Linked DNA regions of Canis lupus familiaris. The protein of the gene in region 1 interacts with the protein of each later gene in a biochemical or structural test. Links are inferred from orthologs where the notes say so. Each region holds a gene or a part of one and is shown in the gene's direction. Other genes may lie near its edges.

Evidence for each region.
Region 2: of the proteins of CASP3 (region 1) and HCLS1, one has a biochemical effect on the other in vitro, tested with the Homo sapiens proteins (2 studies listed by BioGRID). The link is inferred for Canis lupus familiaris from reciprocal best matches to the Homo sapiens genes CASP3 and HCLS1.
Region 3: the proteins of CASP3 (region 1) and BIRC2 form a complex in vitro, tested with the Homo sapiens proteins (3 studies listed by BioGRID, with this or other methods). The link is inferred for Canis lupus familiaris from reciprocal best matches to the Homo sapiens genes CASP3 and BIRC2.
Region 4: of the proteins of CASP3 (region 1) and GZMB, one has a biochemical effect on the other in vitro, tested with the Homo sapiens proteins (2 studies listed by BioGRID). The link is inferred for Canis lupus familiaris from reciprocal best matches to the Homo sapiens genes CASP3 and GZMB.
Region 5: of the proteins of CASP3 (region 1) and PTGES3, one has a biochemical effect on the other in vitro, tested with the Homo sapiens proteins (2 studies listed by BioGRID and IntAct). The link is inferred for Canis lupus familiaris from reciprocal best matches to the Homo sapiens genes CASP3 and PTGES3.
Region 6: of the proteins of CASP3 (region 1) and PARP1, one has a biochemical effect on the other in vitro, tested with the Homo sapiens proteins (9 studies listed by BioGRID and IntAct). The link is inferred for Canis lupus familiaris from reciprocal best matches to the Homo sapiens genes CASP3 and PARP1.
Region 7: of the proteins of CASP3 (region 1) and PANX1, one has a biochemical effect on the other in vitro, tested with the Homo sapiens proteins (2 studies listed by IntAct). The link is inferred for Canis lupus familiaris from reciprocal best matches to the Homo sapiens genes CASP3 and PANX1.

What each region holds. Positions count from the first base shown.
Region 1 is NC_049237.1:46,861,816-46,865,761, forward strand, and holds part of CASP3 (caspase-3), read left to right. Parts: intron 1-753; coding exon 754-878; intron 879-3,832; coding exon 3,833-3,946. UniProt on the Homo sapiens protein: Thiol protease that acts as a major effector caspase involved in the execution phase of apoptosis. Following cleavage and activation by initiator caspases (CASP8, CASP9 and/or CASP10), mediates execution of apoptosis by catalyzing cleavage of many proteins.
Region 2 is NC_049254.1:25,544,926-25,548,871, reverse strand, and holds part of HCLS1 (hematopoietic lineage cell-specific protein), read left to right. Parts: intron 1-599; coding exon 600-654; intron 655-3,075; coding exon 3,076-3,186; intron 3,187-3,808; coding exon 3,809-3,864; intron 3,865-3,946. UniProt on the Homo sapiens protein: Substrate of the antigen receptor-coupled tyrosine kinase. Plays a role in antigen receptor signaling for both clonal expansion and deletion in lymphoid cells. May also be involved in the regulation of gene expression.
Region 3 is NC_049226.1:29,436,935-29,440,880, reverse strand, and holds part of BIRC2 (baculoviral IAP repeat-containing protein 2), read left to right. Parts: intron 1-1,554; coding exon 1,555-1,797; intron 1,798-3,588; coding exon 3,589-3,843; intron 3,844-3,946. UniProt on the Homo sapiens protein: Multi-functional protein which regulates not only caspases and apoptosis, but also modulates inflammatory signaling and immunity, mitogenic kinase signaling, and cell proliferation, as well as cell invasion and metastasis.
Region 4 is NC_049229.1:4,634,571-4,639,175, reverse strand, and holds the start of GZMB (granzyme B), read left to right. Parts: upstream 1-1,694; 5' UTR 1,695-1,878; coding exon 1,879-1,939; intron 1,940-2,889; coding exon 2,890-3,037; intron 3,038-3,452; coding exon 3,453-3,588; intron 3,589-3,790; coding exon 3,791-4,054; intron 4,055-4,572; coding exon 4,573-4,605. UniProt on the Homo sapiens protein: Abundant protease in the cytosolic granules of cytotoxic T-cells and NK-cells which activates caspase-independent pyroptosis when delivered into the target cell through the immunological synapse. It cleaves after Asp.
Region 5 is NC_049231.1:1,253,647-1,258,304, reverse strand, and holds the start of PTGES3 (prostaglandin E synthase 3), read left to right. Parts: upstream 1-1,562; 5' UTR 1,563-1,577; coding exon 1,578-1,636; intron 1,637-4,658. UniProt on the Homo sapiens protein: Cytosolic prostaglandin synthase that catalyzes the oxidoreduction of prostaglandin endoperoxide H2 (PGH2) to prostaglandin E2 (PGE2).
Region 6 is NC_049228.1:38,451,694-38,456,393, forward strand, and holds the start of PARP1 (poly [ADP-ribose] polymerase 1), read left to right. Parts: upstream 1-1,611; 5' UTR 1,612-1,700; coding exon 1,701-1,820; intron 1,821-4,700. UniProt on the Homo sapiens protein: Poly-ADP-ribosyltransferase that mediates poly-ADP-ribosylation of proteins and plays a key role in DNA repair.
Region 7 is NC_049242.1:6,792,443-6,796,952, reverse strand, and holds the start of PANX1 (pannexin-1), read left to right. Parts: upstream 1-1,370; 5' UTR 1,371-1,436; coding exon 1,437-1,617; intron 1,618-4,510. UniProt on the Homo sapiens protein: Ion channel involved in a variety of physiological functions such as blood pressure regulation, apoptotic cell clearance and oogenesis.

The sequences.
Region 1 (3,946 bases):
AGGCAGAGACACAGGCAGAGGGAGAAGCAGGCTCCATGCAGGGAGCCTGACATGGGACTCGATCCTGGGCCTCCAGGATCATGCCCTGGGCCAAAGTTGGCGCTAAACCGCTGACCCACCCAGGCTGCCCTGTTTGGCTGTTTTGAAAAAAGTTTTTTTGACCTTGGTCTAGATAACAGAGGTTTTTAGATAAGCGACCTTCAGATGAGTATTTCCAATTATTTACAGCAGTGATTCTATGTATTAACTATTAATTTGTTCAGCTCATAGTGTTTAAGGGACAGTTTAGGAATTGTGATAAATACTGTGCTTTGGGTCATATTTCCATTTTGTCATTTTCCCATCATTTCAGGGTAATTGTTAAGATTTTGAAAGATAAATATCTCACAAAGTTACAAGAAATTTAAAAATTTAAAACTATGAAATATATTTGAAATTTTATAAAAATTTAGAGGAATACCCTAAAATGTGGAGATTAAAAGCGTGAACTCTGAAGTCTCACAGGTATGCTAGGCCTTAGCTCTGACACAGCATCTGCATAAGCATCAGCATGTTCCTGAGCCCCACTGCGGTCATTTCCCCATCTGTGAAATGGTTTATCATGAAATTTAAATCAGGAAAGGCCTGTAGCACACAGCCTGACATGCATTCAACAGATATGAACTGTTCTTATGTGTTGTAAAAGTTGTATTAATGTGAACAGTAGCATTGGTCATTTCTACCTTTGTAACCTGTTGTTTGATTTCCAAACAGAAAGATCTTACATGGAAGTAAATCAATGGACTCGGGAATGTCCTTCGACAACAGTTATAAAATGGATTATCCAGAAATGGGTTTATGTATAATAATTAATAATAAGAACTTTCATAAAAGTACTGGTATGTATCCTAACATGATTTTTAGTCCTCTTCAAGTATTGTACCTTTTGTATTTGGTATAATATAAAAAAATAGAACTGGTGTTTTTGGTTAGAAAACGGTAATGCAGAACAGCCATGATATAAAGATAGAGCAGGACTCCACACACCCTACATCACGAACTCTTGACCTGCCCATCATCAGAATTTCTCCCTCTTCCAAAAGCTAGCCTCCCATCTGTATGTTGGCTCTCCTGTCCCAACTTCTGTGTAACCCTTGCTTGTTTATCCTCCTGCTTCCTCTTTCATTCTAATAGAAGGATCACAACAAATAATGACTAGTATTTTTCTTTCAAGAACTGTGCAAGGTACCTCGTAGGTATTATCTCATTTAATTTTAACAACAACTCTGAAAAGGTTAAAGTTCTGGCAGAGAGTCACACAGATCATTTAGTAGCAGAGTTGGGACTTGGCCTTGGTGTGCCTGACCACCCTCCACCCCCACCTCCCAGTCCCCACTCGGAGCTCTGAAGTCACCTCCTGCACTACTTCACTTTGTTGTATCTTCATTTGCTCTATTGACGTCTTCCTTTCTCCCCACAAAAATGACAGAACCCCATCTTAAAGAGATCTTTCTTTTACCCTGCTCCCTCTCAAGCTTTGATCTGATTTTTGTCTCCTCTAAATTTTGAAAACTTGTACTTTAAGCTTGCCGTCATCACTTCTTTCCACATGTACTGAAACTGCTCTCTTATGTTCACCAGATCTCCTTCTCAGTCTATACTGGGTGTGACTCAAATCTAGAATACGATTCAGACTTTTTTTTTTTTTTTTTAGCGAATATAAACAATAAAATCCCTTACAGTCCCCAAAAGTTAATTAATATCTTGATGTATTACTTGATTTCTTTCTAGTTTCTTTCAAAGCTTAATGTCATTCCTAATATGCAAGCAGTACTATATCCTGCTTGTTCTATGTAATGTAATATAACCATTTTTCGTGTCTCTCTCTAATTTTGAGATCTTTTAGTGATTATGTAATATTCTATTTGCTTAATTTGCATAATTTACCATATGGTAAATTTGGGCTGTATCTCCATTTCTTATTTTTATATTGATGCTATGTTAATTGTTCGAATTGGCATATTAATCACTTTACACTTAACTTTTAATTAAAGAAGTTAGAAGCAGTAGGTCCAATTTAGGTGGCCATCTACCTGGCTGGTGGTGAAAATGGCCAGAAGAACCCAGATTGTACTGGAAATATAAGCAGAACTTGGTATTAGATTAGTTATGAGGAAACAGCAATTGGAAAAATGGATGTCTAAATCTGAATGGGAGCATTTGTATTGCTTTTGGCTCTAAGTTGAGATGCTACCTTCAACCATCAGATACTCTACATCACATTGCTAGTTACAATGCCCACTTCCTATAGACTTTTACATTGTTGAACCTATTGTTTAACAACCATAACAACAAATTACCTAAGCCAGGAGTCTGGCTTTAGCATTAGAGTGAGCTCGTCTTCTGTTTTGAAAGGTGAAGGTCAGGTCCTCACAGTGATCTCCTGGCAGTCTTGTATTTTCTGTTCTACTATTAAATGGCTCACAATCCAGGACTGGAATTCACTCACCTTGTCACATAGCTGCCTAGTATCCTCAGCCTCTCCAGAGTCAAAACTTTGATAGGCTTTTTAAAATTGTATTAAAATTACATATCATCATAATAAAAGATTCAGAAAAGACAGATTAGCAAAAGAAAAAAAACTTAAAACCACTCATAGTCACACTACTCAGAGATGCTCTATCAACAATATTTTGAAGGCATTGGCATTGAGTCTTTTATTCTATTCATACATTTAAATAATTGACTCAGTTCTAAGGTGTGTACTCCTTAACTGTTTAGCATTTTAAAATTTGAGTGCATTGTACAATCTGTACACTTAATGAGAAAGCTACTATAGAGGCTACTAAGTGCAAGACCCCAGAGTACAGGCCTAATGCTAGCTTTATTACTTTCAGCAAGTTCCTGAATTTCACTGTACTCCTTGTCCCATATCTGTACAAAGGTAACTGGTCACACTCACTGTCTCCTTGGTGTTTGGAAGGGTTGACGGAAATTACTCATAGCAGGATGTCTGGTAAACAGTATTGATGTGGCAGTGGTTTGTGGGTTTTTTTCCTGAGAAAAAAAATATTGTTAAAGTAGTAATGGATCTTTAAATTGTTGGGAACTTAAAAATAAAAAAAAATTCAGCTCCCATGAGTGTGTGAGATGTGTGTAGTGTTATATATATCATTTTTCTTAAGCAAAAGCATCCTCTTGTATTACAAGTTTTGTTTAATAAGTGACCTTTTCCCATGGCAGAATTTTGTCTACAGAAATTTTTATTTTTAAAATTTATTTATTTATTTGAGAGTGAGCAGGGGGAGGGGCAGAAGGAGAGGGAGAGAGAGGATCCGAAGCAGACTCTGAGCCAAGTGTAGAGCTCAATGTGGGGCTCGATCACACGACCCCAAGATCATGACTCAAGCCAAAACCAAGAGTCGGACGCTCAACTGACTGAGCTACCCAAGCACCCCTTGTCTACAGAAATTTTGATGGTAATACAGTATTCCATCATAATCTATTATGAATCATAATTTATTTAACCAGATTTCTCTCATTAAGCATTTCAACTGTGTTTTTCACTATCTAAGCAGCCATGAAAGATATCCTTTTTTTTGAAAGATATCCTTATGATTGTAACACTGATATAGCTTATATTATGAAATGTCATTTTTTTTTATATTATGAAATGGCTTATAATCTAAGAAACTAAAGAGACTTTGTGTTACCACGATCAGAATCATTAAATTTTCTTATCAGTTGAAAAGAATAATTTATTGTGGATTGTGTGACTCGCTGAATAGTTTATTTCAGAACAGTTACTCTCTTTTTTTTAGTGCAATTATAAGTAATCCTTTCTGTTTTCAAGGAATGGCACCTCGGTCTGGTACAGATGTAGATGCAGCAAACCTCAGGGAAACATTCACAAACTTGAAATATGAAGTCAGAAATAAAAATGATCTCACATGCGAAGAAATTTTGG
Region 2 (3,946 bases), on another chromosome or scaffold:
CATCTCTGGGTTTCCCCTGCCACTTAGGGAAAGAGAAGAGGTGTGGTATATATAATCCATTAGGAATGGGATAATATTTCTTACATGTGCATAGTGCTTTATAGTTTACAAGGCACTTTTCTAGCTATTATTTTAGTTTCATGAGAATTAGGAAGAAAAGCACTAATTTACTGAATGACACAATACAAATACTTTTTATATACCTTGCCCCACTTAGTACCCACAATATCATTTCTCCCATTTTATAGTTGAGGCAAATAAGTCAGGTTTGCCTATTTTTATTTCATATTTGAGGTGACTGAGGCTCAGTGATATAAAGGATATGCTTAAGTTAAACAACTATAAAGAGGGAAGGTGGGGTTGGGTTTTGAATCTAGAGTTGATGAACCTACGGAGCGCAAGTTCATTGCTCTGTAGCATACAGCCACTACACCAGCCTGCCGGGTCAGGGTTCTTGTCTGTTTCTAGGTTAAACCCCCATTCTCAGCCTTGAGCTCTTGTAAACTAGCTTCTGGCCTGAGCTAGGAGTATGAGTGTGTGAGGGAGGGGAAAAACTGTCAGTTCCAATTCTAACTAATCCACTCTCCTTTTCTCTGTAGTCTGCAGTTGGCTTTGATTACAAAGGAGAAGTGGAGAAGCACGCATCTCAGAAAGGCAAGGACCCTGCGCTCCAGCCTTAGCAACCTGATTGACCTGTTCTACTCAGACTTCACCTCCCAACAGCTGTCATCAACTCCCTTTAGTTGCAGGCACAGTTCCCCACTATTTTATTTTTTTAAATCCAAGCATGTACTTGCTTCTTTCTTATTTACCTTCTTCTAGGAGATTGATCAAGTTTTCTTTAGTCCCCCTTCCCTCTAATGGATCGAAAATAAGGTATTCTACTACTTTATTTTAGGAAGTAGTCCCTAGATTTTAACATTCATCTTTGACTTAAGTTTAAAATTAATCACTATCTCTTCCTAGTAATAAAGGAAATATAGAATAAGTTAATTACATTCCTTCTACATCCTACATTCTTAGTGCCAACTGGCCAATTGTTGTTGCTCAGTATAAGGATTTTGTGTTTTTAAACCCCACAAAAATGAATCATTATTATTATTTAGTGAATATTTATTTAAATTGACCAACATATTTACCAAGTATCTGGTGCATCACTGTTTATTGTATCTGTTTCCTCTTTTCTTCTATTTCCTTCTTACTAAAGTATATCCTTTGATAATTCTTCCAGTGAGAGCCTATGAAAAAACTCCCAGGCTTTGTCTAAAATATACATTTTGTTTCATTCTTCATTGCTATTTTCCCCATCATCACTTTGAGTATATTATTTCATACTTTTTGGCATCTCTCTTGTGGAGTCTAACTCTTGTTCCTTTGTAGGTAACATGTCTTGTCTCTCTGTTCTGTTTGTTTTTTTTTTTTTTTCATGAAAAGTTTTTTTTTTTCTCTCTCTGATACCCTCAGATATATCTAGGTGTTGGATCTATTTCTCTTATCCTACATGAGACTAACCGATTCTCTTCAACCTGAGAAATAACTTTCATTATAGAAAGTTCTCAGGCCTGTTGTCTTGGGATAGTGTTTCTTCTCTTTTCTCTTTTATCCCTTCTTCTGGAACTCATATTGATGAATATTGAAGATTTTCATTCTCATTTGATTGTCTCTCTCTTTTTTATTTTTATTTTATTTTTTAAGTGCAGTGGTGAGGGGGAGAATCTTAAGCAGGTTCCATGCCCAGTACAGAACTCGATGCAGGGCTTGATCTCATGATCCTGAGATCATAACCTGAGCTGAAATCAAGAGTCAGATGCTTACTTTCCTAAGCCATCCAGGTACTCCAACCATATGGTCTACCTTGGTGAATATTCTATGTGCATGAAAAAACTATATTCTGCAGTTTGGGGATATAATGTTCTGTAAATGTTAATTAGGTTTTGTTAGTTGTTAATGTTGTTTGGGCCTTCTATAATTTTAGATTATTTTTGTCTAAACATTCTTTCAAATAACGTAAGAAGAGTGTTAAAATTTTCGTCTAAGATCACATATTTTTCTATTTTTCTTTGTTTCTGTCAGTTTTTGCTTCATGAGTTTTGATTCTGTTAATAGATTATACCAGCATACATATTCCTCATTAATGATGATTTGTTCTCTTATTTTTGTGTTATATTTCTCTTATCTCTTATAATGCATTTTGTATTGAGGTCTACTTTGTCTGATATTCTTGCCATCTTTCTGATGCATATTCTTTCTTTAGTATATATTTTTCTAGGTCAGCATTAATTTCCCAGCTTAGAATTCCTGTGTAATATAAATAGTATAAAACTGGGATATTTGCATTCTACATACTCAGGGTAGGCCTGGAGTTTCCAAGTTCCATAGGTAAAATTTCCCCCTACCAAATGCTGAACAAACTACAACCCCCTTCACCATTTCCCTGAACAAATGAATAGAATTTTTCTAGAACTCTTTTATAGAAGTGGGCAGACTTCCATTTCTTGTTCCCCAGCCTGCTGTTCTTATCCTAATCCCTAGGGACTAAATTTGGGATTTAAAACACCCTTGGGCTTTCTGAGTTAGCTCATAATTGCCTTCATATTTATGGCTTTGATTCATCTATTTGCTTCTGGAGCCAGGATATTTTTTTCTTTTTTCTTGAGCTTCACTACAAAAAAAAAAAATTGTTATATTTGAGGAGACATTTCTAAGTGTTTATATGGGAATAGGAACAGGCATAAATTTCATATGCCTGTTTTCATATGTATCTGCCTTTTTTCTCCTAAAAGTCTCTCTTTACATTCTCTATACTTTCCCCTTCCCTGAAGAAGGGAGAAAATTGAAACGATCTTCTTATTTTAGGATGGAGGTAAAGGAGGAGAGGAAAGGAGTGAACAGTGTTGAATTACCGCTTACAAAAGATGACTTAGGATACTTGTTTCTTGTTAATCTACCTAGATCCTAGCCCTGCTCTTTTCCCAGGCCCTTATCCCTCTGCACCCGTTCCTCCTGACTTCTCTCTTCCACAGCACATTCCTGTGGGCTTAGAGCAGGCTCTCATGACTCCTCCTTCCACCATAGATTACTCTCATGGCTTTGGAGGCCGCTATGGTATAGAGAAGGATAAACGGGACAAGGCAGCTCTGGGATATGACTACAAGGGAGAAACAGAGAAACACGAGTCCCAAAGAGGTAAGTTGGGTTGAAGAGGAAGAAGGTCTCAGAGTAGCATAAAGTCTGCCTTCCTTCCTTTCTGGAAGCTGACATAGAGGACCCAGAAGGGTAAGTGTACGTATGTATGTAGGGGTTGGGGTAGACACCAGGAGGACAGAGAAGAAAATAGCAAGATTAGGAGCAGGATGGAGGAGACCAAAGAGAAAGGGTCACTGAGGAAAGGGTAAACTCAGACGGGCTGGGTGATGACAAGTGGGTGGTTTGGTTATGAGTCTCACAGGCCCCCATGCCTCACAAGGACAGAGAGGTCTCTCTCGGACACATAAGGGATGGGACATATAAGAGATGGCTGGATGGCTCTCCTTATTTTTTCTCATTTCTTCTTTGTATTCCTTCCTTTTCTCTCACTTCTCTCTTTTTTATCTTCCCCTATTCACATCTCTCTCCTGTCCTTTCTCTCTCAGTCCTTTTCTGCCTATTCCCATCCATGCTTCTCTCTATCCTCTGATTCTCATACTTCCTCATCCATCTCTGTTTTCCACATTCCTGTCTTCTGGTCTTTCTTCCTATAAAATCCTCTACCTACATATTCCTAGCATTTTAACTCTTCTTATGACTCTCAAACCTTTGTGTTCTGCAGATTATGCCAAGGGCTTTGGTGGGCAATATGGAATCCAGAAGGACCGAGTGGATAAGGTAAAGCATCAGCACACCAACATCTTTTTTTTAAATAAAGATTTTTATTTATTTATTCATGAGAGACAGAGAGAGAGAGAGG
Region 3 (3,946 bases), on another chromosome or scaffold:
AACCATAAATGATGGAGTACTTCTCAACACTTAGCCCAGATTTATTTCTTCATTTCCTAAGCTCCAGGCTGGCATGTCCAACTTTGTGTTTAAATCTTTACTTGACTATAACGGGTGTTTCAGAGTTAATATGAACAAAGCAGACCTCTTCTTCTGTCTTTGCTCCCTCAGACGTGTTTCTTGTCTGGTCTGCCCATTTCAGTTTGTGGTACCCACCTACTGAGGTCAGAAAGTTGACTCAAGTTGGGTGTCACCCGAGCTCCTCTTTGTGTGTTCCATCTGTTGGCTGTCCTTTCATCCCTGCCTTCCTCACATGCCTGAATCTGCGTGCCTCTCTCCATGTCCATCTGGCACTATCAGCCTAGTGCAAACTGCCATCACTGTCGTGCTTTCCTGGCGGGTCTCCTCATTCCATCTTAGCTCATTAAAGTTTATCACAGAGCTGCCAGAATCATCATCTGAGAAAACAAATCCGGTCTTAACATCCTTCACTTAAGATGTATAGAAAACATTCTAGTACATGTAGAGTAAAAGATAAGCTGGCGAGGCTTTACTATGAGATCTGGGGATCATCCTCATCTCTGGGTGCCTTTCACCATTGTGTCTCTAGTTCTTGAATGTGTCAGGATTTCTTTGAGATACTCCCATAACTCCTCTTTATTCATTCACATGCTTGTTCTGATGTTGCCACTTCAGACTGGCTTTCTGTGTGTGTGTGTGTGTGTGTGTGTGTGTGTGTGTGTGTGTGTGTGTGTATGTGTGTGTGTGAGACCACCTGCAGGCGGCTTTGGAGAGACATGATTATTAGAACACTTTGCCAGCAGGTGGCTGTCATGCATCATGTAGAATGATGTTTTCTTGTCATTTCCACCAAAGTGTCAAGTTGGTCAGTGCTGACTCTGTTTCTAGGAAGTGCTTCCCTGCTCCACCATGTCAGTTGTTTTCTTCCCTCCTGGGTTATTTTAATCACTTTTCACAGCTTGATTTTCTTTATATCATGGTCTGAAATCAAATGACTTCTTCAGTCATATTTTTATGTCGTTAGACATATTTTGCATGAACTAGTCTTAACTCTCCTTACATCTATGTTACTCTCGGATTTATCTGTCCACCTCTCTAGATCTCATGTATCCTGGCAAGTCCAGACTCTGACGCCACCTTTAATGAAGTCTTTGTTGGTTTCCCTGCTTTCTTGTAGCATTCCTACAGTTGTGTAGCATATTGGTTCCTGAAAATGACCATATGTTGGAATCATTTCAGAAATTTAAAAAAAAACATGGATTCCTAAGCCCTGTGCTTTGAGTCGCTCATTAAGTAGGTTCCAGGGTGTAGTGTGGGAAGTGGAATTTTAAAAAAGGATAGCATATTTTTACATTCTTATTTGATCCTCTTGCATTCATACTTTTGTTGGAATTATAGGTAATTGGTGCATAAAGCTTATGTGCCATACCAGGATATGAGCAGCAGGAGAGGAAAGATTGTGCCATAGTCATCATTTTTCTCTGTAGTTTTACATTTGTGGGATTTAACATTGGTACATGTCTTTTCAAATAGTTGTCCATTTTGGACCTGGAGAAAACCATTCAGAAGACACAGTCATGATGAACACCCCGGTGGTGAAGGCCGCCTTGGAGATGGGCTTCAGTAGGATCCTGGTGAGGCAGACCGTGCAGAGTAAGATCCTGAGCACTGGGGAGAACTACAGAACAGTTAATGAGATTGTGTTAGCACTTCTTAATGCTGAAGATGAGACCCGGGAGGAAGAGAAGGAAAGACAAACTGAAGAAATGGCATCAGGTACTTGGGAATGTTAATTACCCGCCCTATTTCCGTGAGGGTCACGGGACTGGATGACCCGTTGCAGGAGCACCAGCATCTGTCCACTAACTCCTGGCAGCAGTGCCAGGAGCCTCCGACACACATCCCCTTCTGCACTGTGGGCAGTGCTCAGACTGGACTGTAGCTTTCTAGAATATGTTTATTTTCCAACAAGATCTGTGATTTATGCCAGTCCGGATTTTAGCCTAACTTCTTGAAGTATATTGCTTTTCTTCTCCTATGTAACAAATTTAAATTGTTATATATGAGAAGAAAGGAAGACTTTAAAGTTGAATGGAGGTCTTCTTTCAGTGTTTTAAAAAATTTCCTTGAAATCTTATCCTTACCATGGTGTTTGACTCCCTGATCCTTGCTAAGTGGTCCTTATACAAAAATGGAACTGGTGGTGAAGTCCTAGGGCTTGAAAAGCCCCTGCCCAGCCCAGAGACAGTGGGGAGCCAATCAGGGAGCTGATTGTGGTGTTCATGCAGGTCGTGCTAAGCTTTAGACTTCCTAAATAAGTCTCTTGAGAAATCATTCCTTCAGCAAATACAAATGGAGCGTGAACACCTGTCAGATACTGTGCTGTAGTGGTAACTATGGTGCTTACCTGTGGGGATTGTGGATGAGGTGTGGAGTCTAGTACACAAAAGAACCAGCAGAGGTGAGGGGTGCGTAGACAGTGTGGATTGGGAGTTCAGGCTGGAAGACATTTTGTGTTGAACCTGGTAAGTAATGATAGAAATGGTTTAAGAGAACCTCATTGTGTGGTCGTGTAGAAAAATGCAAAGTCTGATTTTGATATTGAAACAGATTCGTGTTTTAATCCTGGCTCTGTCAGAAGAAAACAGGTTCTATGAAGGTTGCGGTTCTATGAAGTGGAGATCATAGTACAAATTGCACAAGGTTACTGTGAGAATTAAATAAGTTGCAAACAAAACATTTTAGCATAGTGCAAGACCTGAAAACATTTTTTTGTTAAGTAGATTGATGTAGGAAGTGACAGGGCTGAGGGCACAGGGCCAGGAAGCAGCCTGGCTGGCATGGGATCCTAGGCCTGTCCTGGCGGGATGAGTACCACTACTGTCCTCCCCTCCTCTTGAAGTGGTGAAGCCCAGGGTGAAAAGGACACTCATCCAGGGCACTGGTTCTGCAACGGATTCTTTCTCTGACTTTGGGGAGGTCACTCATCTTCTGAGTTTCTTTTCCTCCATATTTGAGAATGAGAAGTAGTCTTACCTGCTTGTTTAATTGACAGGATCTTTTGTATCAAATAAGGGAGTTTATACGAAAGCCCTTATAAAACTAAAGTGGTATGATGCAAATAGAAGTCAGTATTATTAATTTCATAGGGGAGAAAGTACAGAGGTGGCAGGTTTTTACTGGTATTTATTTATCTGTTTATTTATTTATTTATTTATTTATTTATTTATTTATTTATTTATTTTACTGGTCTTTAAAATTCTCTGCTTTCTTTCTATGGAATAGCAGGGTTCTAAGACATGTAAATATCTCCACTTTTAGAAGTGACAACAACAGAGACCCTGTGTGTTGTGTGTACTATATGATATGCTTTAGCTGAATCTTCCAGAAGTTTTCTAAATGATAGACATTAAATTTAAGTGCAAACAAGTAATTTTGTGCTTTTTCAAGCACCTATTTATTTAGCGTCTAAATTGTTGGTAGGTTTGGTTGTTAGTGACTATGTGAGTATCGTTGGAGCACTTTAAGATCTAATGGATTTTTTTTTCTTCTTTCTTTTAAATGAAGATGATTTGTCATTAATTCGGAGGAATAGAATGGCTCTTTTTCAACAGTTGACTTGTGTGCTTCCTATCCTGGATAATCTTTTAAAGGCCAATGTAATTAATAAACAGGAACATGATATCATTAAACAAAAAACACAGATACCTTTGCAAGCGAGAGAACTGATTGATACTGTCTTAGTTAAAGGAAACTCTGCTGCCAACATCTTCAAAAGTTGTTTAAAAGAAATCGACTCTACATTATATAAGAACTTATTTGGTGAGTTTTTGGTAAAATTATTTCAGAAATCTTTGAGATTATGTTCATGTTGATGTTTGACAAACAAGGTAAATCTGGTTAGCAAACTATAGTCTGTCCGTAC
Region 4 (4,605 bases), on another chromosome or scaffold:
ATCATCACAAGGATTCCTCCAATTGCACTTTTATAGATACACCCATGTCCCTCCCTGACCCTCAATCCCTGACAACTGGCAACCACTAAAATGTTCTCCATCACTATAATATTGTGTTTCAAGAATACCAAAATCATTCAGTTATGTTCATCTCATGCAGAAGATAAGTCCCATACATGCTTTGAGAGATTTATTTCAGAATATTTCTCTTTTCTTGAGCACTTGTAACCGGTATCGTATCGTTTGTAAGATTTATTTATTTATTTGAGAGACAGAAGGAGAGTAAGGAAAGGAGGGGCAGAGCCGGGGAAGAGGGATATGGGGTTGAACTCTCAACCCTGAGATCAGCACCTGAGTTGAGATCAAGAGTCAGAGAGTCAGAAATCAGATAATTTTAGGGGCCCTTGGGTGGTGCCATCAATTAAGCAAGGGATCCTCTGTTTTGTTCAGGTCATGACATGAGTGTTGTGAGGTCAAGTGCCACATCCACTCAGCACAGAGTCTGCTTAAGACTCTCTTTCCCTTTCCCTTTGATCCTCCCCTCTGCTTTCTCTTTCTCTCTAATAAAAATAGAATAAATCTTTAAAAAGAAAGAAATTAGATCATTTTCATTTTCTCTTTGCTTATATTAGTTTTCAAATTTTCCAACAATTGTAGGAAGTAATTGCATGCTAAATTTTTCACTAACTAGGAAGGAGAGACTAGTAGGTTCTTAAGAGCATGAAGAAAATACTTAAGTTATAGGATTAAGGGATTGTAATACTTAGCCGTTCTTTGAACTGAATGGGGCCTGGCTGTTTAGAAACCACGGCCCCTCACATCCAATGGTAGTGAGATCAGCAGCAGAGTTGGCTTAACAAATGTGAGACTAGTATGTGGCAAACCTGCTATCTCAGAAGTGTGGCTCTCTGGACAGACAACTGACAATACTCAAAGGACAACTCTTGGTTTTGGTTGCCCAGCATACTTTTCCACTTCATGTTATTGGTGATCTAGTCATCTGAACTTCTTTTGGGGAACCAACCTTTCCCCAATCTTAGTTGACTTGTCTTGGGGGGCTTGGCTGTGACTGCCCCCAGTCTTCACAAAGGAGGAATGACGTGGCCTTCAGTCAGTTGATTCAATCTCTAGGGTCATGGTGGTTCATTAACTGAAGCCAATTAGTGTCAAGTACAGGACTTTGGTTAAAAACATTGACAAGAGAGGTGGACTCTATTACTCTGAGTGTTTGTCATTTAAAAACAGTAGATAAAAATCCATAGGAAAGAAGCTGGGGTGATGAATGGTGGCCATAAGGATTTAGTAGATAAAGGTCATGCTCTTACTTTCTTGGCGCTTACCATGCTGGACCATGGGCGCTACTGTTTCTGACTCCTCCACCAGACAGACAACTCTCTGAGGGAAGGAAACACATCTCCAGTATGCTGGATCATGCAGACATGGGCCCAAATACACAGCGCTAAGGAAATTATCCTGATGGACCTAGCAGCATGGAAATGAGGCAGTGGTGGTCCTATCACTGGGGACCCAGGTTTCTGGGCTCTAGTACCCTTACAGGCTGATACCACATCCTCCAGTCCCCACCTGATATGCTTACTGTCCTATTCTGAGCTGGAACAGGTGGTCTGCTCTGAGTCAACTGGTGTGGGTTCTGATGTGGTCACAGCATGATTCTCACACAACCACCCAGAGAACGTCATCAGACAGAGGGGCAGGGGGCAGGGAGGCTTTCATAGAAAGCCTTCTAAGGATGAAGCACCATAAAACCAGAGAGGAGTTCAAGGTCAGGGAGCCCATTTGCACCCCCTTCCTCTCCCAGGAGCTATAAAGGAGTGCAGAAGCGCCAGCAGCTCCGACCTGAGCAGCCTCCCGGGGAAGATGCAGCCACTCCTGCTCCTGCTCCTGCTGGCCTTTTGCCTGCCTTCTGGGGCCAAGGCAGGTGAGTGTACACCCCCACCCTAAGAGGCCCAACCCCATCTCACAGTGGCACAGCTTTCCTGTCCCTTCTGAACACCCCTATCCACCTACCACCAGGAACATTCTCAACCCCAGCCTTCATCCTGCCTCCCCCTCTCAAGTGTGATGCTGATAAGCTAGCAGTAGGGACAGCGGGGCAAAAGGCTGTCTCTGGAAGAGCTAGTCGCTACTGTCCCCTCCCCAGCCTCTACCTTTGCCATCTGAAATTAGAACTTTCCTGGAATAGCAGAGGGTGAGAAACTGGAAAGAGAACACCATAAATCCCCCTGCAGAGGGCAGAGCAAGGGGCTTCCCTCAGCATCTACTTAGGAGTGAAGCCCGGGGCTCAGCTGACCCAACAGTTGGATGGATCACTGTCCCCAGAAGACTGCTCTTGCCTTGCCTCTGCCTCAAGGCTCCTCATCCCTCTCTCCAACTCTGCTTTTCTTCCCAGGCTCTTAGTGGCTCCCCTCTTTCAAGCAGACCTTGGCAGACCTCAATTTCTCTGCTTTCCAGAATCCTACCAGCACGCCGGGGAGCCTTGCCTTCGTGCAGCCAACCAGCACTTACTAGGCACCTATGACCCGTCAGGCCCTTAGGAAATCGGCAATGTCACACATCTACTTAACTAAACTTAGATCCCAGCCACTGGAAAAGACTTCACAGGATGACAGGGGCCTTAGAAACTCACTTGAAACAAGGCAAAGTCAGGAGAGGGATTTTTCTGGAGCCTCTAGGACGTTGCTATTCCTAACACAGGTGTGGTCCCCTCTGATTATGTGTAGAACACAGATGCACAGCCTGAGACTGCTGCCCTCAAAACTCCCAGGGGAGGAAGTCGAGGCCCTCCACCTTACCTGCTGCCCCAAATCAGGCATGCCTGCCTGCTGGATTCAGTGGGTAGACAAGAGCAGAACAGAATTTTTCCTTCAGGAGAGATCATCGGGGGACATGAGGCCAAGCCCCACTCACGGCCCTATATGGCGTTACTTCAGATTGAAAACCCGAGCAGGCAGATCAAGTGTGGTGGGTTCCTGATACAAGCGATGTTCGTGCTGACAGCCGCTCACTGTTGGGGGAGGTGAGAAGTACTAAACAGGCTGCACTGCCCTGAAAACCCCTGCAGGGAGCCCTGCCTTCCTACCAGCTCGCACCCCCCATCCCCCACGCTGAGCTCCGCTGGGGCATGCTTTGCCATTGTATGCCAACTCATGCAATCACGTTTCTGTGGGAAACTGTCCCCTAAGACCCACCGGCACACTCACTATCGGCTCCAGAATCCTACCTCAGCTGCTGAGAAGCAGAAGGCACAGAGAGCTCAATCACGGCCCCTCCTGTTGCCTCAGTTTCCCCTCAGCTTAAGTACTGCCTTGATTTCCCTCTATCACCTTGATTTCCCTCTCAGCTGCCCTGCCCTGGCTGCCACCTGCCCTCTCGACTCCCAGGCTGTACCCTGTGACTCCACACCCCCACACCCCACTCTGCTCTCTGTGCAGCTCCATCAAAGTCACCCTGGGCGCCCACAACATCAAGGAACAGGAGAAGACCCAGCAGGTCATCCCCGTGAGAAGAGCCATCCCCCACCCAGACTATAGTCCAAAGAACTACTCCAATGACATCATGTTACTGCTGGTAAGGAGACCTCCCTGCAGCTCTTGCCCTCCTGGGTCCAGACTGTTTCCCTCCCACTGGGACCTGTCCCTGCCATCCTTCCCATGCTGGCCACCTGTCCAGTCCCAGAGGCTCACGGGAGAGAGAAGACACTGCCGCCTCATCGGAGTGTCAGGCCCAGAGGCCACTGGCTGAGCTGGACTCTCTTACCTCTTCCCGTCAGCTTGAGAGGAAGGCCAAGTTGACTGCGGCTGTGAAGACTCTCCCCCTGCCCAGGGGCAAGGCCCGGGTGAGGCCAGGACAGGTGTGCAGTGTGGCCGGCTGGGGGCAGATTGAGGCCAAGATACGCAGGTACCCAGACACTCTGCAGGAGGTGTCACTGGAAGTGCAGAAGGATTCAGAGTGCGAATTCCTCTTACCCAAGTATTATGACAGCACCACTCAGCTGTGCGTGGGGAATCCAAAGGAAACCAAGTCTTCCTTTCAGGTGAGACTCAGTGTCTGCTTAGCATGGCTCTGGGGACAGGGGTGTTTGGGGAGGACCTGGGATCTGGAGATATAACCAGTGATCCTTCTCCTGAGGAGTAGAGGGGGAGCTGCCAGAGATGAAGGCACCTAAGCACCTCTGCAAGCCTGCCAAGACCTAGAATGAATTCAAACCATGCTCTTCCAGAAGGATGCATTTGCAGCACCCTGCCCCAACCCGGCCACTGATGCTGGGTGTGGCAGTGATGAAAACCAGGGGGTTCCTCAGAGCTGGCACCCACCTGGGTTACGGGCTCGGCCTGCATGCTGTCAGCCCCTAAAGAGTAGAGTGAAGCCAGCAGTCCCTCATCAGAGGATCGGGACCGGGGGAGGAGAGGGAGCTGCCACTTGGGGTGAAGTGTAGCAGTGACAAAGTCCAGGCCGGCCCTGTCCTCTTAGCTCTCGTGGAGGCCGTGCAACACAGGCTTCTCAGAGGGGCCTAGGAGGGCAGGCTCACTCCTCCTCTATCTCTGTCCACAGGGAGATTCTGGGGGCCCTCTCGTGTGTAACAAT
Region 5 (4,658 bases), on another chromosome or scaffold:
AGAACCAGTCTAGCTTTTAAAGTTTGTTTTTGTTTTTTTAAGATTTATTTATTCATGAGAGAGGCGGAGACCTAGGCAGAGGGAGAAGCACGCTCTTCGCAGGAACCCTATGCGGGACTCAATCCTGGATCCCAGGATTATGACCTGAGCCCGAAGGCAGCCGCCCAATCGCTGAGCCACCCAGGCATCCCATAAATTCTTAAGATATTTTTTCTGAGTTCCTAAATGGGAAATTGTTGATCCTAGTGTATTCTGTTACAGAAGTACAATATGTATTGTAGTAAACTTTATTATGTACTGTGTAGATTGACAGTGATTTTAAATTGAGGCTGACTTCTCTGTTTCCCTAGGACACCTTTGAACTTCTGGTTTTTCAGGAAGATGCCAATTACTTTACACATTACCTTGAGCAGTAGTATGTTCTTCCCCCTATTGTATTCCAAAGCCATAATGTGCTTTAGTGCATTTTCTGTACAGTAGTTGATCTTCACATGTTGTCATACTTTATTATTAAAAAAGTATTTGTCAGGGTCCTTTCCAGCTCAGCATTTTAATTATCTTTGTGTACGGAAGGCTCTAAGTCACAGACAGGTGTTCTTAAAAATTTTAGTATATATTTAAGTTCCATAAATACTAGTTCACACAGTGCTAATTAGTATAAGGAGTTGTCCTAGATAGAATTGGAACTCAGGATTTCTGACAGAAAGGTTATTTTTTCCACTTTACAGAAAGGAAGAATAATTTCCCAGTGATCCTTTTATTTCCAAAGAAATAACTATGTCTCTCTAGTTCTGTCTTATTATGTAAACTGTTTCTGTTAAAACCTGTGCCACTTCTTGACATACGATAATGGAGTCCAGAGGCTCTGAAATTTTTCTCTACTGGAGGCACTGAGAACGTTGACCTTGAGTCTTATTTGTTCTTTTTTTTTTTTTTGAGTCTTATTTGTCTGAAGAAAAATTACTATATCTGCTTTGGAGATATTTAAAAGAATGCACAAAAGTGGGAGTGTAGGAAGGTTGGAGTTGCTTGGAAGAAAGGCGCTAAGTCTTGGGAGAAATACCATCTTTAAGAACAGCTTTCACTTTTACGTTTAGAGTAGGAATTACCAAATAAAGGAACTAATAACACAGGTTCACAAATGTTCTTGGTTTGCCCTTTTATGTCTTAGTAGGTTTTTTGTTGTTTCCTTTTTTTTTTTTTTTTTTTTTTTTTAATGGTGTTGCTGGCCAAAAGAAGTAACCTAGCAGTTCTGTTAGTTAGGTAGTTAGGTCAAAACAACTTAAGTAATTTATCCGAACAACCTAGTAGTCTTTGAAAAGCAAATACACAAAAATTGAAAGAAAAAGGTTTTTTGTTTTGTTTTGTTTTTAATAACCACAGTTACAGAATATGAATGCCCTTTGGGCACTGTATAACTTCTTATAACTTGAATTCAGATTAGATATGTCTATCTCAACTTCTGTTCTCTACTGTTTTGTTTTTTTTTATGGGTCCCTTTCTCCCCCCCCACCCCCCCTTTTTTTCCTCTAAATCACAGCAACACCAAAATTCTAACTTTGGAGAAATGAAGATTAATGGAGAGGGATGTGGTGCAGTCTGCTTTAAAACTGAACCACCTGGTGTCTGAACTGAGGTTGAGTATCACTAAATTTTTCTCAAATTTAAAATATCTTGCAGCAACCCAGTAAGTTTCTTGTGGTGCCCTGATGCACCTTGGCAAGTAATTTGGAAGCAACTGGGTCAGCATGTGTATTCAGATCACCTATCTAGAAAGTTTTACATGGTAGTACAACTGACATACAGATACTCTGAAAGTATGAGAAGCATATCTTGGGTTTTGTTTGAAGAAAGAATATGTGCATAAGAGAGTGTTGGATTGGGGATCCCTGGGTGGCTCAGCAGTTTAGTGCCTGCCTTCTGCCCAGGACGAGATCCTGGAGTCTCGGGTTCGAGTCCCCACGGCCTCCTTGCATGGAGCCTGTTTCTGCCTCTGCTTGTGTCTCTGCCTCTCTCTCCCTCTCTCTGTGTATCTCATGAATAAATAAAATCTTTAAAAAAAAGAGTGTTGGATTTTTAGACATTTGTGGACAGGGCTTTTCACTGCTCAATTTATGTGCAGTCAAAAGCCCAGTCCAAAAAGGAACTACTTTTTTCCTTTCTAATAGCAGAATTTCATGTTTCCATATCATTCCTCACTTAGTACAAACTAAAAAAGATTTACCTGTGTCTTGATTCCTTTTTGTAAATAATAGACTATTTGACAAACTTAGTTTTAAAAAAATCAGTAATTCTGAATTTTATAACCTCTTTATTGCTGATTTTTTTCCTTGGTTTTAATGATTTTTCTTTTATAATCTTTTATGATGTTTATTTTTTTAAATGTTTTTTTTTTAAAGATTTTATTTATTTATTCATAGAGATGCAGAGAGAGAGAGAGAGAGAGAGAGAGAGGCAGAGACACAGGCAGAGGGAGAAGCAGGCTCCATGCAGAGAGCCCGACGTGGGACTCGATCCAGGGTCTCCAGGATCATGCCCTGGGCTGCAGGCAGCACCAAACCGCTGCGCCACCAGGGCTGCCCTCTTTTATGACGTTTAAAGATACTCTGAGATGTATAAGAGATCATCGAATCTAGTGTTTAAGAAGCTTCCTATTAAATAGAAATGTTTACTTCTAAACCTAGAAAATACTAGGTTAAGATTTAGTAAAAAGCTAGTCTTCTGATTTCTATTGTTTTATCTTAGAATTCAAAGTGATCCTGTAATTCAGAAAAATAATGGTGCTCCATTAAGAGTTAACTTGAAAGGAAACTCATTGGGGCACCTGGGTGGCTCAGTGGTTGAGTGTCCACCTTCACCTCCGGTTGTGATCTTGGGATGGAGTCCCACATTGGGCTCCCTGTGGGGAGCCTGCTTCTCCCTCTGCCTATGTCTCTGCCTCTCTTTGTGTGTCTCATGAATACATGAATTAAAAAAAAAAAAAAAAAAACTAAGTACAGTTGATTCTTGAGTAACACGGGTTTGAACTGTGTGGGTCCATTTAGGCAAATCTTTTCCAATAAATACAATAAGGTTAGTGTATTTTTTTTTTTTTAAGATTTTTTTTTTTAAGATTTTATTTATTTATTCATGAAAGACACAGGGAGAGAGAGAGGCAGAGACACAGGCAGAGGGAGAAGCAGGCTCCATGCAGGGAGCCTGACTTGGGACTTGATCCCAGGTCCCCAGGATCACAACCTGGGCTAAAAGCCGCACTAAACTGCTGAGCCACCCGGGCTGCCCTCTTTTTTAAGATTTTAACCAACTGAGCCATCCAGGCATGCGCGCGCGCGCACACACACACACCCTTTTTTTTTGTTTTTTAAATTTTTATTTATTTATGATAGAGAGAGAGAGAGAGGCAGAGACACAGGCAGAGGGAGAAGCAGGCTCCATGCACCGGGAGCCCGATGTGGGATTCGATCTCGGGTCTCCAGGATCTCGCCCTGGGCCAAAGGCAGGCACCAAATTGCTGCGCCACCCAGGGATCCCTTTTTTTTTTTTTTTTTTTTTTTAAGTAAGTTCTACAGCCATTGTGGAGCCCAGGGTGGGGCTTTGACTCACAACTCTGAGATGAAGACCTGACCTAAGATCAAGACAAGAGTCTGACTCCCTTAACTGCCTGAGCCACCCAGGTGCCCCTGTGAAATTTTTTTTTTTTTAAGGACTTTCTCAACATTGTTTTTTTTTTCTCTAGTTTCTTTCTTCCTTTCTTTCCTTTCTTTCCTTTCTTTTCAAGATTTTATTTATTCATAGAGGCACAGAGAGAGAGAGAGAGGCAGAGACACAGGCAGAGGGAGAACCAGGCTCCATGCAGGGAACCCGACCCGACATGGGACTCGATCCCAGGACTCCAGGATCACGCCCTGGGGCTGCAGGCGATGCTAAACAGCTGCTTTAGCTGCGTCTCTTGGGCTGCCCTTTTTCCTCTAGTTTCATTGGAAGAATATACAGTGTATAACATATGATATACAAAGTATGTGTTTATTGTTTACATTTGGATAAAGAGTCTGGTCAACAGTAGGTTATTAGTAAAGTTTTAGGGGAGTCCTAAATTATGCTTGGATTTTCATCTTTGTTAAGGGGTTGGTGCCCTTAACTCTCATATTCAAAGCTCAGCTGTACGAATAACCAGAGAAAGTTTTTGTTTTGTTTTGTTTGAGTGTTGTGATGTGTTACCTATGTACACATTAAGATAAACTGTAGTTAGTAATGGACCTGATCCCTTTACCCCCCTTCCCCAATATTTCTTAATATTTTTGGACTACATTTAACTTGAATGTAAGTTTTGTTTTGTTGACTGCTCTATCTCCAGAACGATTCCTAACCCCATATTTAATAAATATTTGTTTATTGAATAACATTCAAGCTCAAGCTCTAAATGCATTTTATCTGCTAGGCTTGGCTACATGAAGTGCTTGATAGTGAGGGTTGGGCCTAAGGGTTCGTGTGTGTGGTTTTTTTTTTTTTTTTTTTTTTTTTTTTTACTATTACTCTGTTATTCTGCTATATCACATTTCATCCAAATTCAACTATATCTTCTGTAGAATGTAGGTGGTCAGTGTTGAAAGATAAAGTTGATGAGAACCATCTATAAATTGAATACCTGATTTTATATT
Region 6 (4,700 bases), on another chromosome or scaffold:
GTACCTAGAGGCTACTCAGAGAGACACAGTGGCAAATGCACTGGGCCACAGCTGTAGCTTGCCAACTAGCCTGCTGAACAGACATGGGTGTTATCTGCCGTTCTTGGGCAAAGCATATGGGAGCCAGAGCAGGACCATAATGTTAGTACCAATAAGTGAACCCAGAGGTCAAGTGATCCTATCTTTGGATTTGGCTATTCTCTAAGTAAAAGTTATTTTATTTATTCTATCACACACTCCACTTATTCTATTCACCTTCAACATAGCTAACATCCCTTACTTCAGATTCTTGCCTAGGGCTCGCAACCTACTTGCTCCACCTCTCAACATCACCTCTCCGGTTACTAGCTTTCTTCTCTATGCTGGCGTGCTTCAGCAGCTTCATTGATCCTGTTCGTTTTTCTTGTCTGCTCTACCAGAACCGAGTCCTCAGATACAGCACACTCCACAGTAATGTTTTACTTTCGTGTTTTTTAAAAGTAGGCTCCATGCTCAAGGTGGGGCTTGAACTCAAGAGCCAGACATTCTACTGACCCCCAGCCAGGCCCCGGCCACTAAAATGCATTTGATTATGTTTTTTAAGATTTATGTCTTAGAGCGAGGGAGGGCGGAGGAGCAGAGGGAGAGAGAGAGAATCTCACACGCACTCCCTGCTTAGCACGGATCCGTGGACAGGATCCCAGGACGCGAGCCCGAGATCACAACCCCAGGGCAATTCAAGAGCCGGACACGACTGACTGAGCCACTGCGATGCTTTAAATGACGAAAATAAAATCCACAGGTTTAAAACAGAAGCCAGTTCTAGGGCGACGGAGCTGTAGAGCAACAGGTCTTCTAGCTCCCACGGGAACCGGTCGCGTGGAGCGCAGACACCGGCGAGGCTCCCCGCCCCACTCCGCGCGGTCCCCGGGTCGGCGCACGGTCCCAGGGCACAGCGGGGAAGCGGGACGCGCTTCCTGAGAGCGGCGGAGGGGATTCTCCGGGAGACCACAAGGCCCTCCCCCGACTTGAGGCCAGCAGACGGAGCGCACCCCACGCCCCGCCCCTGCACGCAGCCGCTGCCCACCCGGCTCGCGCAGCCGCAGGAGCCCGGGAACCGCCGCCCGCGCAGTGGGCAGGCGGGGGGGGGGGGGGGGGGGGGGGGGCGTGCTCCGAGGACGCGTGCGCGGGGGGCGGGGGGGGCGTGCTCCGAGGACGCGTGCGCGGGGGGCGGGGGGGCGTGCTCCGAGGACGCGTGCGCGGGGGGCGGGGGGGCGTGCTCCGAGGACGCGTGCGCGGGGGGCGGGGGGGCGTGCTCCGAGGACGCGTGCGCGGGGGGCGGGGGGGCGTGCTCCGAGGACGCGTGCGCGGGGGGCGGGGGGGGCGTGCTCCGAGGACGCGTGCGCGGGGGGCGGGGGGGGGGCGTGCTCCGAGGACGCGTGCGCGGGGGGCGGGGGGGGCGTGCTCCGAGGACGCGTGCGCCGGGGGCGTGCCCCCGAGGACGTGCGTGCGCGGCGGCCCCGCCCCGAGGACGCGTGCGCGGGGGGCGTGCCTGCGGCCGGGCGTCTGCGGTCGGTCGGGAGCGGCGGGCAGCGCGGCGTGCTGGGGCGGCGGCGGCGGCGGCTCTGGGCGCTCGGTCGTCTGCGGGGAGCGGGAGTGGGGGGCGGCGGCGGCGCGTGTCCAGGGCGCGGCGCAGGGCAGGCGGCGGCGCGGGGCGGACGATGGCGGAGTCCTCGGACAAGCTCTACCGGGTCGAGTACGCCAAGAGCGGGCGCGCGTCTTGCAAGAAATGCAGCGAGAGCATCCCCAAGGACTCGCTGCGCATGGCCATCATGGTGCAGGTGCGCGCGGCCGCTTTGTGCGCGGTTGGGGGCGCGGGGGAGGGGAGCCGGGGAGGGGGAGGGGCCGCCCCGGAGCCCGCCCGCGAGAGCCGGGGAGGGCGGCCCGGAGCGGTGCTGCGGGGTGGGGGGCTCCTCCTGCCTGTCGCCGGCCGAAGTCTGAGGACGAGGCGAGCCTGGGCTTCTGAAGCCCGCCGCTTCTGCCCTCCCTCGTGCTGGAAGGTTTGTCCTACATTGATGATGGCGCCTGGCGCGTGAGGATCATTTTAATCTATTTTTGTACAACATCCGCTCACTCTCGATTTTTTTTCTTAATTATGCAGAACTGTACCAGTCGGTGTGATTTCTGTACAGCGCATTCACTGATTCGGGGTTTGAAATAACACCCCCCCCCCCAACTTTGCAGGTTCTCCGGCGCCTTCCCACCCTGATGCATTTACAGCTGTCTGATTTGAGTAAAAGGCCGGAGGGGTGTCCTCGGGGCTTCTGGACCCTCTGGGGGTGCCCCGGTGAATTTGCTGAGGCTTCCCAGGCCGGGCCGTGGGACTGGGCGTGTGTCTGAGGGCTCCTACCTAGGCGGGGGGCTTCCTGCGTCCTCCAGCTGCCAGTCTGCTCCTGTCTACCTGTCCAGTCCTGCTCTTCTCCAACATGGAGCTCCTGTTGGTTAAGTTCAGTGCTGGTAGTCAGGGTAACTCGGTTTTCCCTCCCTGCAGTGAGGCAGCAGCATGTTTTAAGAACAACCCTGTAAAAAAAAAAAGAAAGAAAGAAAGAAAGAAAGAACAACCCTGTAGACTTTACTGGGTTTTCAGTTCTAACCAGGTGGAGCAGAGTGGGTACCAAATGCCAAGTGGGGTTAAAGATGGAGGATGTTGTTCTGGTATCAGAGCCAGTCTAACTCGCACCTGCCGTGCAGTACTTCCCTTCAGTGAACACCAGGCGTGTCAGGCACCGTGTTAGGTTCTAGGGCCTCGGAGACAGCCTTCTGCCCATGCAGCCACCAGCTCGGTTAAATGGAAGATAACTGGGAAATGTGGCTGTAGTGAGTGGAGACCACCCAGGATACCTGTGCACCCACCAGGCGTTGAGGGCCTGGGGTGAGAGCTGGATAGGGGTTCTTAAGCGCAGGAGTAGCAGGAAGTTGAGGTTGGAGAAGCCGACCAGGTCTTACCATCTGCAGAGCTAGATCTGCCCCTGAGGCTCTCCAGATCTTACACCTGAATGTATGGGTCGCCTAATCTGAAGCTCTCCCCTTAACATTGTTGACTATCATGAAATTAACATTTTAAAAATAATAATAAAAAGGAGAAGCTCCCTCGGTGCCGGGGCTCTTAACCTAAAATCTGAGTTTAGAAGAAGAGAAATTTATATCTCTGTAGTCCCTAATCTCTCTCTCTCTTTTTTTTTTTTTTTTTTAAGATTTTATTTATTCATGAGAGAGAGAGGCAGAGACCCAGGCAGAGGGAGAAGCAGGCTCCATGCAGGGAGCCCGAAGTGGGACTCAATCCTGAGACTCCAGGATAACACCCTGGGCCAAAGGCAGGTGCCCAACCACTGAGCACCCAGGCGTCCTAGTCACTAATCTCTAATCTCTAAATAAACTTCATTACTTTCTCCAGTTATGAATGTGAAGGCAGAAAAGCAAAAGCAGTACCTATGGTTTTTGTCACCAGTGGAAATTACAGATATTTTCATATCACTGTACGTTTGTTGGGGATATCTCAAAACATCCATTACATTCATCATCATTCAAAGTTGCTGTAGTTGCTACAGTGGGCACTAAATCTTGTTATTTTATGCTTTAGAGCTCACCATTACCATATTTTTAAACATTTTGATAATTCAGTCTAACTGCTTTCTTCTGTGAGCCTGTGTATTGTATTACTCGTTTTTAAATTTTATTTGGAGAAAGACGTATCCTTAGGCTTCACTAATCATCCAGAGAGGACCTTCCCTGATCAGGAAGGACAGACAAAACCATAGTAGAGCCAGTATATCGAATACATAGGGCTGGCCTGGTGTTCCCAGATCGTGAAATAAATGAGTTAAAGTGGTTTTCTGTAACTGTATTTGGGGGTGGAGTTTTAATTCAGAATGTAAAATCTGGTCTTTGTAGGCAGAGCTGGAGGCCTGAAAGAAAGAAGCCATTCTTCTCCCTCGGGGTTCTAATACCTTCTTTTACATTTGTATGGGCGGATTGTTCTCCAAGTGTCAGATACCTGATACTTTAGGTGGTGTGCCCGGGGGCAGCCTCCAGGGGACTAACCAGGCCTTGTAGCTTCTTGACCCTTGGACCCTGGGTTCTTTTGTGTTGGGCGGGCTTGCTGTGGGGTCACACACACTGTTAATGGTCATTCCGTGCTCTCGGTGGATAGGTGGGCAGTGGGATGGCCTGTTCTATGCCGAAGGAAATAGTGGCTGGGCGAGGACCTGGTGTGTGTTTGCTGGGTACACAGAAATTCTTCTGCTTACGGTTGCCAAGTGGAAGCGTAGCCTTATGACCTTGTTCTGGTTTCCTTCCTGCCATATCCTTGTGAATCCTACATTCTAGGGTAAGGCCTTGCTTTGATCAGGGGTCCTTGCTCTCAAGTCCCTCAAGCTGCATGCCCTTGGGCTGCACCTCTTGGTTGCCCCACGCTGCACTGATAGTTGGGACACAGCACCCACACCAGAGGTTAGGGGGCAGGTGCAGGGACCCCACCAGAGCCAGGAAACCATGCAACAGCCACAAGGTCCAGTGTGTTCCCTCCCTTTGTGCGAATGTGACCTGAGCGCCGCAGAGGAGGGGCAGACGAGGGACACGGAGGCAAAAGGAGCCCAAGTGCCAGTCTCTGCAGATGTACAGCAAGGTGGAATACGCTTCGCCTGCCTTGTTGGAAGTTTGAG
Region 7 (4,510 bases), on another chromosome or scaffold:
TTTCAAAGCTCCCTCTGGCCGCTGTGGGAGAAAAGTGGCTTATACGCCTATGCCTATGCGATCCACCGCTGTATGCGGTTAAGAGAAAGGATGAGCACTGGGTGTTCTACTATATGTTGGCAAGTCGAAGTCCAATAAAAGAATATACAGAGAGAAAGAGAAAGGGAAAGGACGGTGGCCTAAATCCCAGTGCTGGCGGTGCATGTGGAGAAAAACCATCACCTTTTCACTTGGCGAGGACCAAGTGAATTTGGAAATTCACTTTCCAAACTATGGCAGCTGGGAGAACTGGAAGCTTAAAGACGACGCTGGAGGCTCTGGCTTGGGTGGATGGCGGCGCTTTCCGCCAGCTGGGGAGGACCGGAGTTCAGCCGGAGAGGAAGATAAGGCCTGCGTTCCTGGGTCCTCGGAGTCCGAAGTCCTGGGAGCCACCCGGGCGGAGGGCGGTGTAAACTGCTGGCTGAGCGATCGGAGGCTAGGACAGGTGGAGACGTGCGCGAGGGACCTGAGCGCAGCCGGGGGGCGGGGGGGGCGGCCCGGGTGGGAAGGGCGGGGGCGGCAGCGCAGCCCGAGGGCCCTCCCGCCTGCGGGTTCTGCCCGCCGCAGCATCTCCTCGCGCTTCTCAGGCTCCACCTCCTGGAGGCGGGTCGGCAGCGGCGGTCGGCAGCGCCCACAGGCAGCACGCGCGGACGGCGGAGGCTGGAGGCTCGGCCCCCCGGGCGCGGTCGCCGAGGCGCGGAGGGTGCAGAGTCCCGTCCTCCACGCCGGCCGCTGGGCTCCGGGGCAGCCGTGGCCCTTGGCAGCGTCTGCAGCTCCTCTTAAGCGGAGTCCACCGTGCAGAGCTGCGGGGAAACCGCGGCCCAGCAAGGCGGGCGGGAGGGGGCGCTGAGGCCGAAGGGGCGGGGCGTTTCCGTGGCGCCGCTGCTCCGCCGGGGATCGCCGTGCTGGGCGGGCCACCTGTCCCCCGCGGCTCCGCGCGCCCGGCTGTCGGAGGAGCTCGGAAGACCTCGGGTTCCGGAAGAGCTGGGCGGGGCGAGCGGGGCGCGGGCGGGGCGGGGCGGGGCGGGGCGGGGCGCGGGGGGCGGGCGAGGCGGGAGCGCACCCGGGGCCGGCTCGGGGCTGGCTGAGCGCGGGCGGGGGCGAGGCGGGGCGCGGGCGGGGGCGGGGCGCGGGCGGGGCGCGGGCGGGGGCGCGGGCGGGGGCGGGGCGGAGCGCGGGCGGGGGCGCGGCGGCGGCGCTGGGCCTCATAGGCAGCCGCGCGCCCCGGCGCACAAAGGCTGGCGCATGTGTGAGCGGCCCGGGAGCCGGCAAAGGGAAAGCGAAATCCGCGGGGGCGGCAGGGGACGGCGAAGGCGCGGCGCCGCGGTCCCGAGGCGGGGGTCCCGGCCTGCCCGCCCCGCCCCCTGGGCCCGGGGCCTGAGCGCGCCGCCGCGGCCATGGCCATCGCCCACCTGGCCACCGAGTACGTGTTCTCGGACTTCTTGCTGAAGGAGCCCTCGGAGCCCAAGTTCAAGGGGCTGCGGCTGGAGCTGGCGGTGGACAAGATGGTCACGTACATCGCCGTGGGGCTGCCGCTGCTGCTCATCTCGCTGGCCTTCGCGCAGGAAATCTCGACGGGTAAGGCCGGGCGGAGGGGCGGGGCCGGGCGGCGGCGCGAGCCGCGTGGGCCGCGGTCCCGGGTCTGCGGGACGTGGTCTGACTGCGCGCCCCGTGGCGGGGACGCGGGGTAGAAAGGCAGCCCCGGGCTGATGGCCTCGAGTGTTCTTTGCGCACGTGGTGCAGGCTGTGGCCCTGCGGATCCCGCTTGCATCCCCCCCCCCCCCCCGTTCTGCCTGCACCCCGCTGATCCCGACTGCGCCCTGGAGTGCGTGTCCTGCCCTCGCTATCAGATTTGTGGAAACCACGGCCTCCTCATCCCGTCCTCTCTCTCCCACATTTGCGTAATTATCCACAATTTTGGAGCAGAGAAGTTCCGGAGCGGCTGAGCGGAGGGCGTGAAGAAGAGGACTCCGTGAAAGCTGTGCGCTCCCTTCTTTATCTCACTGGTCGATACCGAGACTTGAGCTCTGGGGGGTTGGTTGTGAATGATGGGAAATGACTGCCCTTGGCTGGTATTAGTGGGATCCCAGAATCCTCCATCTGAACGGCCTTACTATGAATGGGGGATGAACAAGCCCCCTTCACGTGGACTGTCGTTTACTCATAATAACGCGTCTGAGGTGCCAGTGTCTGGGGCAGGATCTTGTGGTTGCCTAATAAGACTCTCTGGTCTTCCTCAAGAGCTGAAGCATAGAAAAAGGATACTTTCGAGTCAGCAGGAAAGCAGCTAGAAACAGTTTGATGGGCGGTGGGAGAGAAGAGAGGACGGTGGGGCTGGGCCTGGGGGAAAGCCTATGTGAGAAATGGTGCTGGCTTCTGGCCGTGGAGCACAGTGGAATTTGCATAAGCAGAGGTGAGACCTTTGTTAAGATTCTGAGATCACAATTGCACTACTCGGGATTTACCCCAAAAATACAGATGCAGTGAAAAACTGAGACACCTGCACCCCAATGTTCATAGCAGCAATGTCCACAATCGCCAAACTGTGGAAAGAGCCTCGGTGTCCATCAAAAGATGACTGGATAAAGAAGATGTGGTTTATGTATACAATGGAATATTCCTCAGCTATTAGAAACGACAAATACCCACCATTTGCTTCAACGTGGATGGAACTGGAGGGTATTATGCTGAGTGAAGTAAGTCAATCGGAGAAGGACAAACACTATATGGTTTCACTCATTGGGGGAATATTAAAAATAGTGAAAGGGATTATAGGGGAAAGGAAGGAAAATGAGTGGGAAAAATCAGAGAAGGTGACAAAACATGGGAGACTCCTAACTCTGGGAAATGAACAAGGGGTAGTGGAAGGGAGGAGGGCGGGGGTGGGGTTACTGGGTGACGGGCACTGAGGGGGGCACTGGACAGGATGAGCACTGGGTGTTATACTGTATGTTGGCAAATCAAACTCCAATAAAAAATATACCAAAAAAAAAAAAAAGATTCTGAGATCGCAGAGAATGTTATATATGTTCCTGGAAGGAGAAAGATAATGACTATACTCCCTGAGGAGGAGTGTTAGTCACAGTTTTGGGTTATGAGCATGAATATGGGTCCAGGTCCGTTAGAACAGAGGCGTACAGGCTTGGTAGTTTTAAAAGTGCAAAGTTATTGTGTGAGCAGAGGATGGACTGGTTGAAAACAGTACTGAATAAGCCTGATGGTATCCTGTAGGGTCTGGGATCAAGGAGGAGAATCGGAGCTAGGGAGGCCAGATGCCAGAAGATGGGGCCTTGGTTGACGTCTTGTGCATGGATGGGGGCCAAGATTTGAAGGGAAAGGATGGGAAGGGGTGAATTCTAAGAGATCAAGGAGCAATAAGTGGCACCTGGGTACCTAGTTTTTAATAGGCAATGAAGGGCAGATATGACCAGAGTTGATAGAAAGGCTGCAGCCCAGAATGATTGGAGAATGGTGGGGGGGATTTTTGTTTTTTAAAGATTTATTTATTTAGAAAGAGAGAAAGAGCACATGCACAGAGCAGGTGGTGGAGAGGGGCCGAGGGAGAGAATATCTAGCAGACTTCCCACTGGGTGCAGAGCCTGATACGGGGGCTCGATCTCATGATGTTGAGATCATGACCTGAGCCGAAATCATGGTCAGAAGCCTGAGCCCCCCAGGTACCCTGAGAATGGTGGTACTCTTGATGAGAATAGTGAAGTTGCAGGAGGAGTTAGTTAGAAGAGGGTTATGGTAAGCTTAATTTTGTGATCTACAGCACTAAGTTGTTCAGTGTGGCAGGAAGTTGCCAAATTCATTGTGGAGAATACGTGATCAGTTTTTTTGTCTTTGGGCAGGCATAGTCCTGGGGTTTCCTTCCGCCTTCCAGATGATCAGGAGTTGGGACTTCTAGTAGAAAGGAAAACCACCAAGCAGCTTGGGTCCTAGAGATAATCTCTCCCTTCAGCAGATGTTCTTTGGGTACCAGCTATGGGTTGGACCCAGTGCTATGCCCCGAGGGCCCAGGAATAAATGAGGCACAGTCCCTGTCATGGAGGAGTAACAGTCTTGGGCACCTGATGCCAGGAGGAGGGAGTTGGTTACCCTTGGTGATCAAAGTTGACATCTACCCCACCCCCCCATACTAGAGGGATTCAGAAAGCAGAAGCACTTTCAACAAGTTTAAGTTGATGGGCTGAGAGGCATTTGGCTGGCATTGGGAATGGTTTCACCCAGCAGGAGTCTGACCTTACGCTATGCACAGAGCACTGCTGTGTGTTGAGTGGGACAAGAAAGGAGTTTGAGGCATGGTCTTCCTCCCACCCTGTAAGAGTTTACCTCCTATCTGGGTGCTAGGACAGACATGTTGACAGGTGACATTCAGCAGCATGTAATTCAGTGGCAAGACAGTGTCATGCTCTGAGCCCCAAGCAGGTGAAGGTTGGGGGAAGCTGTGGAGCAGACTCCCATTCTT